2 linked regions of the Drosophila melanogaster genome follow. The protein of the gene in region 2 interacts with the protein of the main gene of each other region in a pairwise test. Each region holds a gene or a part of one and is shown on either strand. Other genes may lie near its edges.

Region 1 (5,906 bases), about 10 Mb from region 2:
CTAATCTAAGCGCAATTGCATTTTAATGGTAATTTAATTGCCATTATTGACAGAGTTTATGGCAACGAAGACGCACACAATGTCCGCGGGGGATGTCCCCTTGGTGGCGATGGCCAAGGTTCCGCCGACCATTCAGTTTGAGGCCACAAAGAACTTTCACTCGCACACCGAGCAGAAGGAATTGGACAGTGCTTTCCTGGGCTACAATCGACGTCCTTGGGTTCGCCAAAAGGCTCACAGGGACACACGCCGGGAGAGGGAGATCCTCAACGGTCTACTGTGCTCTACCAGCGTGGAAACGGACTACGCCAGCACCTGTGTGGACAAACTTATTGCCGAGAACATTAACTATCTGGATTTGGCCTCTCTCACCGACGAAGATTTGGAACTCTTCGGGTTCAAGTGTCGAAAGCAACGGCAACAGCTCCTGGAGATGTTCGAAAAGATTCCCAACCAGAATCCCAGTTACGAATACATTTGCAACCATCCTGAAGCCGAAAACTACAACAATCAGATTCTGGGCAATGCTGGCAACCACTTTATGTCCCTGCGCGCTTCTTTAGCGGCCACCAACTACAAGCTGCAGGTCTCCACTCCCGAGGACGTCGTGGTGGGCGACAAACGATATGCCAGCTGCTTTGCCCAGGAAACTCTAAAAAGCGTGAATCAGATCACCGAAGAGATTGCCAAGGATCTCGCGAAAATCGAAGCTAATGCCCAGAACGCAAGGAGCCAGAAGAAAGTGCAGGGCAACGAGAGTCACAAGAAGGTGAATATAGCAAGCAATAAGAAATTATTTTCCTTTATACAAATTTGCATTGCAGAAGAAGTGGAGCCTGGCTACTATTTTGTATTACACCACCTTGGCTGTGGGATTTTCGTGCGCCTGGTTCTGGTGGTGGACCAAGTTCCGCAGCGCTCCCCGACTGGAGCGGATCTCCGTTCAGACTTAAAAAAAACGCACAACGATGCATTTAATAGTTACATTCCGATTTTCTCATAGGACCTAAGTTTATAGAATTTACTTATTACTTCTTTAAGCATTCGCTTAATCTAAAGCTGTAATGAAGTTTTACTGCCCAACATGAACATTTGATAGAAACCATATGTTGTATTAAGTTGAAAAATTGTTTAATTTATTGCCTTAAACTGACTTCTTCGGCAAGGAGAAGAAACCCCAGATGGACATAGGAGTCCACGTGCTCGGGAAATTCCCATAAAGTTGTGTGCGCAATGAGCTGGCTTCTTTCAGTCGAGTGAGCAATGTTACCTATAAGAAAAGTAACATGATTATATTTAAGATGGTAAATCGAATTTGAGAAATTAATCTGTGCTTCTTTGAATTTTCAAACGTATTAAAGGGGCTGCTTTCGACAAAGAGGAGCTTTATTATTCCTACCGGCAACTTCCATTTTGACCAGAGCCTCCTTCTCATATCTTTCGGATAGCTCCTTCGCGAAAACCACGAATTGCTGCAACTTCCAGGACCTGTAGAATATCGTATCCGCTGCAGATCCCGGTAATTTTAATATGCCTCTCAGTTGTCTTAGTATCTCCTTTGTATTATTTGCGATATCCCCGAAAATAGAGGCTATGATGGCCAACTTGTTGCAGGGAAGTAGGAGATCATCTGGGTAAAGGGAGCTGCCTTCATCCTGGCTTTTCTCCAGACACTTGGTCTTCTTGGCTTCGATAGTATAGCAAATAGAGGTGCCCCGCTGATGGGCCAGCTGCCATTTAGCGTAGTTATCCTGGAGTTGTTTGACTATTGTTTCCAATCTGGTTTTGCAGGTGGCTAAATTCGCATCGTGACTCGTGGGCGATTGCAGGCGCTGGCTGTCCAAATCTGGAAACGATGCAAAGAAATAATAACCTTTTTTGTCTTTGGAGCCAACTTACATCGAACTGGTGTGAAGGAACCATTTATATTCGGTTCACTTGCTTTTTGCGGCGTTTTATTCGCTTTGGTCATTTTGTAAACAATATTGTTTACTTCAGCTAGTGTATGCACACCTCCTCTTTGGGAAATACGTTCAACGCGTTTATCAACACTAATGGTTTCTAATATCGATAAGTGAATATATTCAATGTTAGCATAGAACTATAGCTATTTAAATGGGGAATGGACATTTCGACATTTATTTCATTTAATCTTAATCGATTACATGAATCAATTGCTTTAATACACACAATTGAAAAGCTTATAATCGATATGTTTCGACCAAATCAATGTTCACACACCACATTCAGAAAAAAGTAAAGCTCGTCAAAAGTGCCGGTAATTGTGTGTAGAAATCCTTCATTTTCCTGTGAATTTTCAATCAGATCACTGCTAAAGCCAAATTCAAAAATATGTTAACCTGGACGCCACTTGAATCTAATCCCGAGGTAATGACTTTACCTGTAAAGGTTTTGCCTACCGCACTTCCAGTTTTTGCACATTCATTGTTTCTTTGTTCCAAAATGTCGGATTTGGATAATAAAGTTAAAAGACGCCATTAAGACCTTCCCATTCCCACTTTTCCAGGTTTTGACCAAGTACATACATAAACTGGGCGTGTCGCCAGCCTGGTCGGTAACTGACGTCATTGGATTGGAAGATGACACCTTGGAATGGATTCCGCGTCCCGTAAAGGCGTTCATTTTGCTCTTCCCGTGCAGCGAAACCGTAGGTTTAGCTTGACCTTCTTATCTTATTATCCTGGCCAACCAGGTTCCATTTTTAGTATGAGAAGCACCGCGCCGAGGAGCACGATCGGATTAAGGAGGTGGAGGAGCAGCATCCCGAGGATCTCTTCTACATGCGCCAGTTCACCCACAACGCCTGTGGAACCGTCGCCCTGATCCACAGCGTGGCCAACAACAAAGAGTGAGTTCGTGACGTTTTTTCTATATAAGATCGTTAATAATCGTATCTCTTTATATATCACAAAATGTAATCTTTCCCCAGAGTGGACATTGACCGCGGAGTACTGAAGGACTTCCTGGAGAAGACAGCTTCCTTGTCCCCGGAGGAACGCGGACGGGCCCTCGAAAAAGACGAGAAGTTCACCGCCGATCATGAGGCCTTGGCTCAAGAGGGCCAGACGAATGCCGCCAATCATGAGAAGGTGATCCACCACTTCATCGCACTGGTGAACAAGGAGGGTACTCTGTACGAGCTGGATGGCCGCAAGTCCTTCCCGATCAAGCACGGACCGACTTCGGAGGAGACTTTTGTGAAGGATGCGGCCAAGGTCTGCAAGGAGTTCATGGCTCGCGATCCCAACGAAGTGCGCTTCACCGTTTTGGCCTTGACCGCGGCACAACAATAGGGTGGAACTAATCCCATAACTGAGAACCACCAAGATCCCGGATCTGCCAGACTATATATTTATATATCCAACATATTTTAAACCAGGCTGCAAAGGCGAACGAAGCCCCGCCTTTCAGCCGGTCAATAGTTTACGCATATTTATTCCGCATTGAGCCAAAGCCGCATATGTATTGGGAACACCATGATTGTTATTAAAGAGTGCACTCTAGCTTGATGCTAAGCTTATTCTGAACACCACACGGCTTTTACTTATTAATATACATATATAAAAATATAGGCTTGGCTGTTCAAACTCCCCCTTTGTCCACCACCTCTGTGCCAACAGCTGATAACGATGTGGCCTCCATTGCGCATGCCCTGCCAATTAGTCGTGCTCCACGTAAACGCTTGAACCTTGTTTTTTCTACACTTAGCATTAAAAAAGCAATCCCCGTGCAGCGGAGCTCTAGCCTGAAATTTAAGCACTGGATAGGAGTATATCAGAGCTATCGTATCGACAGAAACCCTCCAGGAGTGCCGCCCAACGAGTTGATGCCGAGGAGCAGCAGTGGAGCTAGCGGGCAGCAGTTAAGAGCCGGACTTTCTGGCCAGGATGAGGCTGCTCAAGGAACTGATGCGAGTGGCCACCCAACACAGAGCCTTCTACTGCTATGTGCTGCTCAGCGTCTGGATATTCCTTCTTATAGCGGGTAAGTGGAAAAGTAGCGGATTAATGGCAATCGTGGGAAAACATTCAATATATACTCAATATAAATCTAAGAAAAGATTTCTTAAGTTGACCCAATTAGTTAATATGGTTGTCAACACTCGAATAGGACGTGCTTTGTTATATTCATAGGCAAATAGCTAATCCTTGCCTTTGATAATCCTTTTTAGGAATGTATCGCTACATGGGCAATGTTGAGTCGACTCCAAGCGGTGGCTCAGTTTTCGGACCCAGTTCGTCTGGCACCGTCAGTTCCTTGGGCGGCGATAGTTCGCCATCTTCCACTGCCCAGCGATTCGCCAAGTACAGAGAACGCTGTGCTCCGTTGGCTCAGCTGCAGCGTTTGGATGATGGCGGCATCTTGGAGGGTTGGAAGCTTCAGGGCGTGCTCCTGGTCATCAGGCACGGGGATCGGGGACCCATATCCCACGTTCGCAGTGCTGGCATCAACTGCGGCGTGAGTGGTGGCTCAGATAACTTGGTCAACAGGTGGGCTATCACATTTCCGGAAATATTTATTCATTGATACGTGGTTTTGCTTTAGGTATCGCAGTTTTCTGTATAACTCGAGCAGCTCCGCTTCGGGATCAAATCACATGTACTGGAACAAGGTGGGGCCGTTCCATGGGTTTCCACTGCTGCCGGCCACAGAACGTGGTTGTCCACTGGGGCAGCTCACCTACAAGTGAGTGAATGCACTACCGGCATTCAATGCCGCTATTAATCATACGCCTGACTTTTCATTCACCAGGGGAATCTCGCAGCTGCTACACGTGGGCGACATCATGCACCAGGTCTATGCTCATCCACTGGGTCTCCTGCTCAAACCGAATCCGAACCGAGCCTCTGTGGAAACGACGCCCCACACGCTTCTTAATTCGGATGAAGTGGTGGTCTTCACCACTCGCTATCGTCGCACCTTCCAGTCCGCATTGGCCATGCTGTTCACCTTGCTTCCGGCGGACAAGTGGCTGGCTTTGAATGTCCGGGAATCGCATAGCATGGCTTTCTGCTTCGGCGAGTGCAGCTGTCCTCAGTCGGCTCTGCTGCGAAAACGTCTGGAGGCCATGGGTGATAAGCAGCTCCTGAAACGTGGCGATGTCCTGGATGTGATGCAGTGGATCGGAGGCACCATACTGCAGCACACGCCGAATGGCATTAGCAATCCCTTCGAGGTGGTGGATGCCCTTTTGACAGTTCTATGCCATGACGCCACCTTGCCATGTCGCAGGAAAAAAGCGCTTTCCACTCCAAAGCCCCTCAGAAAGAACTCCAATCAGGAACTGGTGGATGTGATCAATATAGATCAGGATGAAACAGCTGCCAACTTGATGCAGGTAACTATTGAAGAGCTCCTGCAATGTTGAAGGTTTCATGTTACCTTGTCCCCAGGAGGCACAAACACAGGTGGAACCCGACTCCCCTGAGGTGGAAAATGGGAATCCCTCAGTGCAGGCGGATGAAGCTCAAGAGGGCTGCGTCGAGCCCAGCCACGTGGATACCCTGATGTCCTTTGCGGACGAACTATCGCAACGCTCCGCTGGTCACTCGTACTACAAGCTATCCGGATTGCTGCGATCCTACGGAATGATCCGTCACATAGTCAGCTACATGCTGAAGATGATCTCTGGCGACAGGACGAAGTTTGTCCTGTACTCTGGACACGACTGCACCATGCAGTATCTTACAGCTGCCCTGGGAATCATCACCAACCAGGGCCAAACCATAGCCTATGCCTCCAGACTAGCATTCGAAGTTTACCGGAGCGACGCTCACACGGATTACTACTTCCGGGTGGTGTACAATGGAAAGGATGTCACGCAGCAGATCGATTTCTGCGAGGGAGGCAAAAGCCTACGGGTCACCAGGGATTCCAGGGGCAAC
Region 2 (6,659 bases):
CCACGGCCTCCACTCCGCCATTGTAAACACTGAGCTTATTCGGTGCCACCTCTTTCCACAGGAACTGGATGTAGGAGATCACCTAGAGGATTTAACATAATTAGTTTATTACACACTTAACTTCTTGCAATAAACGGCCAACTTACTTGAACTTGACCACAGGTGGCCAATGCCCACCATATGCTCCACTGCAGCACGACGGGATTGGAGTAGGAACTAACGAGGTGGTACCACAGCAGGCGGCATGCGTTGGCAAAGGAGAACTTTGGTGAGGTCTCTTCTCCGTCGGCAATGGTAATCTTCTCGGAACCCGCGTAGAAGTAGAGGCTACGCGGCACACTGGGCAGGAACAGGGACACGGCCAGGGAGATTAGCTGCGTGGCCAGCGAGAGGTAGTGCAGCTGCCGGTAATCCATGCTATCGGTGGACACCAAAATCTGGGCAAACAGGCCGCCGAGGAACTTGCCGCTCAAGATGGCAGCTCGCGTGTGGCCCGTGACTACCTGATACTGCTCCTTGTTGACCTTGGCGTACATGTACGTGTAGTAGGCCACCTCAGCGGCCGTAAAGGTGCCAAAAAACACTTGGGCCACCTGCAGCATTCCCACGGTTTCCGTCCAGATAAGCATGGAGAACAGGGTAATGCCAGCCAGTGCCGATAGCACGATAACCGGTTTGTACCTCACCAGATCTGTGATGAGGAACACAATTACCAGCTGGGCCAGCACCGAGTACGTGCCGAAGGGATACACATCCTGATAGATTTGATCCGTCGTCAGGTTGCCATAATCCGAGGCTAGGTACTCTGTGACGTACGGCTCCGAAGGTCGAAACTCCCGGAAAAAGCCAAACGTGCACAGCAGCAGCGAGATCTTCAGCCAGCTCTTCATGTCGTAAATTGCGATACCAGGTGGGCTGTTCGCATGGAGACTCGAAACTCCAAGCTCCAATCCGGCGCCAGTTGTTTCGCCAATTGATAAGTGTCGTAACCAACGCGACGAACGCCAGCCGGCAACTGATCGCGCGAATCAAGAGCGCCTGGTAGCCCATCGCTCTCCGCCAAAGCGGCTACAGTGGTGGCCAGCAGTATTCACCCACAACAACCGGAAAACCAGAATCAGGTGAATTTTAAGGGGTTCAAAAAAAATCATAAGAAAACAGCAACATTCAATATGACAGGCATATAAAATTATTTCCAACGATTACTACAACTATACAATCAACTATATTATCACAAAAAAATATATATTTAATATACTTAAAAAATAAACTATCAACAAATAGTATTATTTTTAGAAGAAAAACGCTATATAAAATATATTTTACATTCAATATTTCAAAAGTTGTTGGAAAAGATATGCACATATGAACTTATATCCAAAGCACTGCAAATTCGTAAAACAATTAATTTAAGCTACTGTTGGGCCATAAAATTCGTATATTGTTTAATATATTTACACACATACATACAAATGTTTAAATCATGCGCCCAAGTTCAATGACCGTTAACTGTTAATGCTAGGGCCACTAAAAAACATAACTTAATATTGATTTTGGTGTTATTCACAAAATTGAACACTTCATATATTTATGGCCGCTACTGTACGAGTATGACCTCAAAAGACCGTGAAATATACATTTATCTACATTCAATTAATTTGGAGAATTTCTATAATTACAACTTGACAAATTTATAGATTTGGTTACAGATCACGGAGCAGTGAAAGTTGTAAATTTTAAATAAGTTTTATTTCGGTAATTGTCGAGTAAGCAAATTTATCGCACAGCAACAAAAATTAAGATTCTTGGATTGTTCCCCATCAATTTATTGACAATTAAGTGACGCATTAATTGGAAATTTGTTGAAAGCTCAACGTTTGCTCTTGATATTCACAATCGAGAGAATGATACTCTTTGAATTTAGAGGTTAAAAATAGAGCATTCAAGTTATCACCGATAGTTCTGCTATAGCCATCTTATCTTTGTAGTCTAATCTGCAGGCACTAAATATGAATTTCAGAACTGTCTAAACACCAAAGTCGACCCTCTAATCGGTTCTACTTTACATAACTTACATAACTACATACATAACTCCGATTTGAAGGCTGATCGAGTGAACAGATTTTGGAGAGCTAATAACATGGTAATTTGTTTAAACAAATTAAGCAGATTTGCTTTCGGTAATCTTATCGTCACTGTTTTGCGGATTCTTCACAATTAATCTTAAAATAGTTCTAAAGTCAAGGTTCCCCTGAGTTGTTTAATCTACTTCCGTTTGAGGTAATCTTCGTAGAGTTTCAACAACTCTGGAGAAGTCCGCGGAGGCACCGCCTTCAAGGCGTGCTCGAAGTCCGTCCACTTGACATCCTCCGCTTCGAAGCTTTGCTCCAGGGCTCTCAGGGCAGCCTCATGGCATACGGCTTGTATTTCTGCACCGGAATATCCCTCCGTCAGCTGCACCAACTTCTCCATGTCCACATCGTTTGATATCGGCATGGCACGCAGTTTGATCTTTAAGATCTCTCTACGTGCTTCACATTGCGGTAGTCCCACGTAGAGAATTCGATCAATTCGGCCTGGACGAAGCAGTGCCTTGTCGATCATATCTGGACGATTGGTGGCAGCGACTATGGTGACATTTTGCAGTGCCTCCACGCCATCCAGTTCGGTGAGCAGTTGCGTGAGGACGCGCTCTTTTACGGACGAACCAGAGCTGGATCCGTCGCCCTCCGAACGCTCGCCACCGATGGCGTCGATTTCGTCGAAGAAAACTATGGCGGGTGCCACCTGGCGAGCCTTTCGAAAGACCTCACGCACCGCTCGCTCCGATTCGCCCACCCACATGGAAAAGAGCTCTGGTCCCTTGATGGACAGAAAATTAAGCTTGCTCTCGGTGGCCAGGGCCTTGGCAATCATGGTTTTCGAGCAGCCTGGCGGTCCAAACATGAGGATACCCCTGGGTGGCTTGATACCCAGGCGTTGGAACTTATCCGCGTGCAGCAGTGGCCACTCGATGGCCTGCTGCATGGCCAAACGTAGCTCGGATTGACCGCCAATGTCGGACCACTGCACATTGGGACACTCGATGAGAACTTCACGCATCGCCGATGGTTTAATGCGGGTCAAAGCCGCCTGTAGATGCGGCATCTGTAGAGGATTCGGTTGCGCCTGCAGCATGGCAGCGTAAACGAGATTTGCTAAGTCTGCTCCCACGTAGCCATGGGTAATAGATGCAACGTGCTCCACTTCCTCATCGCTCAACTGATGCTCCACTGACTTGATGAGGCATCGTACAATTTCCAGCCTTGCCTGAGAGCTGGGTGCACCCAACTCCACTTCATTGTCCAATCGACCAGCTCGCCGAATGCTCGGATGCAGGGTATCAATCTGAGAACTAGTGGCCAGGACAAATGTTTTGCTTCCCTTTAGCTGGCTGGGAGAGCTTAGCTGATCCAGCAGGGATAAGAATGCCAATGAGACGCGCTTGACAAGATCGCTGTTTTCTTGCTTGGGACACAAGTTGTGCACATCCTCAATCAGCAGCAACGTTGGATGCGGATAGTGATTGTAGGCACGCTCAAATATAGCACCAAGTTTCTGTTCCGTTTCGCCCAGGAATTTGCTGTACACTTCGCCGCTGTTTATGCGTATAAGCTGGACATGTCCTTGGCTACGTTCCTCGGCCACTGCGCACATGGCTTCCAGCACCATGGACTTGCCACAGCCAGTGGCGCCATAGAGAAGCAGTCCGCGGGAAACCCTAAGGCCTAAAATATAATAATCTTAAATAGGTGCAATGTGAGTCTTGGTTTACATTTACCTGCAGGCAACGTTCGGAATCCCAAAGCGTACTCCATACTCTCCTCAACCAGTTGCAATTGCCTATCCAGCCCGCCTATTTGGCATTTGGTGATCCTGTGACTTATTTTTTGCTCCTCCTCCTGCTGATTTGCATCGTCGGTTATCAGGTGGAGCTTGGTTACGTTGGTAACCTGGATGAACTGCAAGGGTTTGGAGTCGAGACTCAGACCAGCTAGAGCCTCTTCCACTGTGCTCTGCCATCGCTCCAGGCGAAAAGTCAGCGATTTGTTAAAGAAATTCATGTGGATCAGACTGTCCTTGTAGAATACCCGATTGACCATGTCTCTTTTGAGAAGGGCAATGGCGTCCTGCAGTTGTACTGACTTCAGGGAGGTCTCTGTGGTGTTTACATGCTTCAGGGAAATGCTGGCAGCCGCAGTGAGGCGACTGGGATGCAAGGCAGAGATCTTGAGTAGCTTTCCTCGAAGTTGTGTGCAATGGAGTTTGAAATCTGGTTAAAAGTATGATAATTAGTGCCGAGAACTGTTTTTATAGTGTAAAACACATACCCCCTTCGCTCACAAATACTGTGGTGAGGAATTGCTCTGATGTGGGCCATACAATCCTAACCAGCGGCTGCTCCGCCGTCGATGGAGCTTCCAGCACCACATGTTGTCCAATGTGTAGCTGTGCCAATTGCATCGCACCCTCGGAGACGAAGACTAGCATATTGGCATACTTGGTGGGCAGATCCTTCAGAGACTCCACCTCGAAATTACGCTGTTGAAGACTTCTCGTATAGATTGCTCCACTGCGAACGTACTCCGCCTCAGAATCGGGACCAACATCATCCTGGCTGATGGCGAAGCATAAGCCCTCGTGGTTATCTCTCGCTTTCGAGGGAATGTGGACGCCGCAGGACTCGCAGTGGTACCAAGTAACCTGGTTTTTCTTGCTGCTTGACTTTGGCGGCATTTCGTTGGCCGGTTGCACGTTTTGTTTTCATTGTGGGTGGAAACGTTCGTTGTGAATGGCAAATTGAGCGCAAGCTCTGGCAGATCTTGATCGAAAATAGCTAGATCTTGGTATAGCTAAACAGATAATAATCGTATGGCGTACGGATTGCTTGTTAATATTAATTTCATTGCGTAATATTTTAAATATTCGATAGTTATAAATAATTAAAATTGATTGTTAAAAATAATAGCTAAGCAAATGCAGTCAGCCTAGCTGACATCACTGACAGTGTTGGTAGGGTCGGTATTTACCCGCTGTCCGCATGCAGCCACTCCAAAGATTCATTGTTGGCTTGTGACTCAGACTTTCTGGTGCGAAAAGCAGGAGCGGATCACACAGCGGATTAGCGATGAACAGCGACGGTGAAGCCTCATCACTGCAGATGCCCCAGGTGACGGTGGGTGGCATGCTGCCGGTAGAAGCCAACCAATCGCCTGAAACCGCTCCGCTTTCGATGGCGGAGACGGTGTCCAACACGGACTTCTACATCGGCGTTGGCCTGGCTATCTCCTCCTGCTTCTTCATCGGTTCCAGCTTCATCATCAAAAAGAAGGCGCTCATTCGGCTGAGCAGGTACGGCGAGGTGCGGGCGTCAGCCGGAGGATTTGGATATCTGAGGGAGTGGATCTGGTGGGCGGGCCTTCTGACAAGTGAGTGAAGAACCAAACAAAGAACACTCGGTTTCCGGAATACCCTTGCAGTGTGAACTCTCTAGTGTGTATATGTTCTATGAGTAATAATAGTAAAGTGAAATTCGAAAACCAAGATACTTAAGTGAGGAAAGCCTTAGAAACACTTTTCCATATGTTTCATATCCAAAAAGGTAATAAAATAACACATATGTACCTGCTATCACAAACTTCCGTTGCTGATATTTTTAATTTAAATCTTTCCAAATATTAGTCAATTACTTATAACGTACAACGCAAACTAGAGCATTAATAAACATATAACGAATAATCTTTAAAACGTAGAGATAACAACTATTTCCATTTATACACATAAACTTGCCTAATCTATAGAATCGAAGATTAGTTGCGAAGCTTCTCCAGAAATTTGAATACCGTCTGCAAGGGTATATTATCAGAAAAACAGAACCCCTTATCACACTGACCTTATGACTCACTTGCTCTGTTTATTTCTTACAGTGGGTGTGGGAGAAGCGGCCAACTTTGCGGCCTACGCCTTTGCCCCCGCTTCATTGGTCACTCCGTTGGGCGCGCTGAGTGTTATCATCTCAGCCGTGATGGCCTCCAGATTCCTCAACGAGAAGCTAAACTTGCTGGGGAAGATCGGCTGCTTTCTGTGCATACTGGGATCCACCATCATTGTGATTCACTCGCCCAAAGAGAAGGAGATCGAGGATTTGCAGCTGCTATTCGATATGCTTTTGGATCCGGTTTTCATTCTGTACGTGATCTGCATCGTCGGTTCCACGGTGTTTGTGGCCTGCTTCATTGCACCACGGCATGGGCACACCAATGTGGTAGTTTATATCTTCTTGTGCTCCGGCATCGGATCTCTGACTGTGATGTCCTGCAAGGCATTGGGCCTAGCCATACGGCAGACGCTGAATAACGGAGGCAACGTCTTCCTCACATGGATGCCATGGTTCCTGATCCTGGTCACCGTCACTTTCATAGCCATCCAGATGAACTATCTGAACAAGGCGCTGGATATATTCAATACTAGTATAGTTACTCCAGTGTACTATGTAATGTTCACCACCCTGGTGATAGCTGCGTCTGCCATCCTCTTCAAGGAGTTCACCCACATGCGGTTCGATGATATTCTCGGCGATGTGTGCGGCTTCCTGATCGTTATCACAGCTGTGTTCCTGC

What was found.
Region 1: the proteins of CG5776 (region 2) and CG34174 interact in a two-hybrid assay, tested with the Drosophila melanogaster proteins (one large-scale study listed by BioGRID).

Annotation. Positions count from the first base shown.
Region 1 is NT_033779.5:2,210,378-2,216,283, reverse strand, and holds CG34174 (uncharacterized protein), read right to left. Parts: upstream 2,019-5,906; 5' UTR 1,973-2,018; coding exon 1,900-1,972; intron 1,847-1,899; coding exon 1,400-1,846; intron 1,313-1,399; exon of another isoform or gene 1,271-1,312; coding exon 1,137-1,270; 3' UTR 1,117-1,136; downstream 1-1,116. Other genes in the region: daed (daedalus), read left to right, coding at 59-769, 825-953; Uch (ubiquitin carboxy-terminal hydrolase), read left to right, coding at 2,353-2,388, 2,528-2,668, 2,727-2,869, 2,951-3,314; CG15385 (uncharacterized protein), read left to right, coding at 3,909-4,005, 4,193-4,511, 4,567-4,707, 4,774-5,359, 5,415-5,906.
Region 2 is NT_033779.5:12,699,625-12,706,283, forward strand, and holds CG5776 (uncharacterized protein), read right to left. Parts: upstream 4,828-6,659; 5' UTR 4,777-4,827; coding exon 4,371-4,776; intron 4,313-4,370; coding exon 3,821-4,312; intron 3,768-3,820; coding exon 2,266-3,767; 3' UTR 1,325-2,265; downstream 1-1,324. Other genes in the region: CG17036 (uncharacterized protein), read right to left, coding at 1-82, 147-890; spict (spichthyin), read left to right, coding at 5,168-5,468, 5,967-6,659.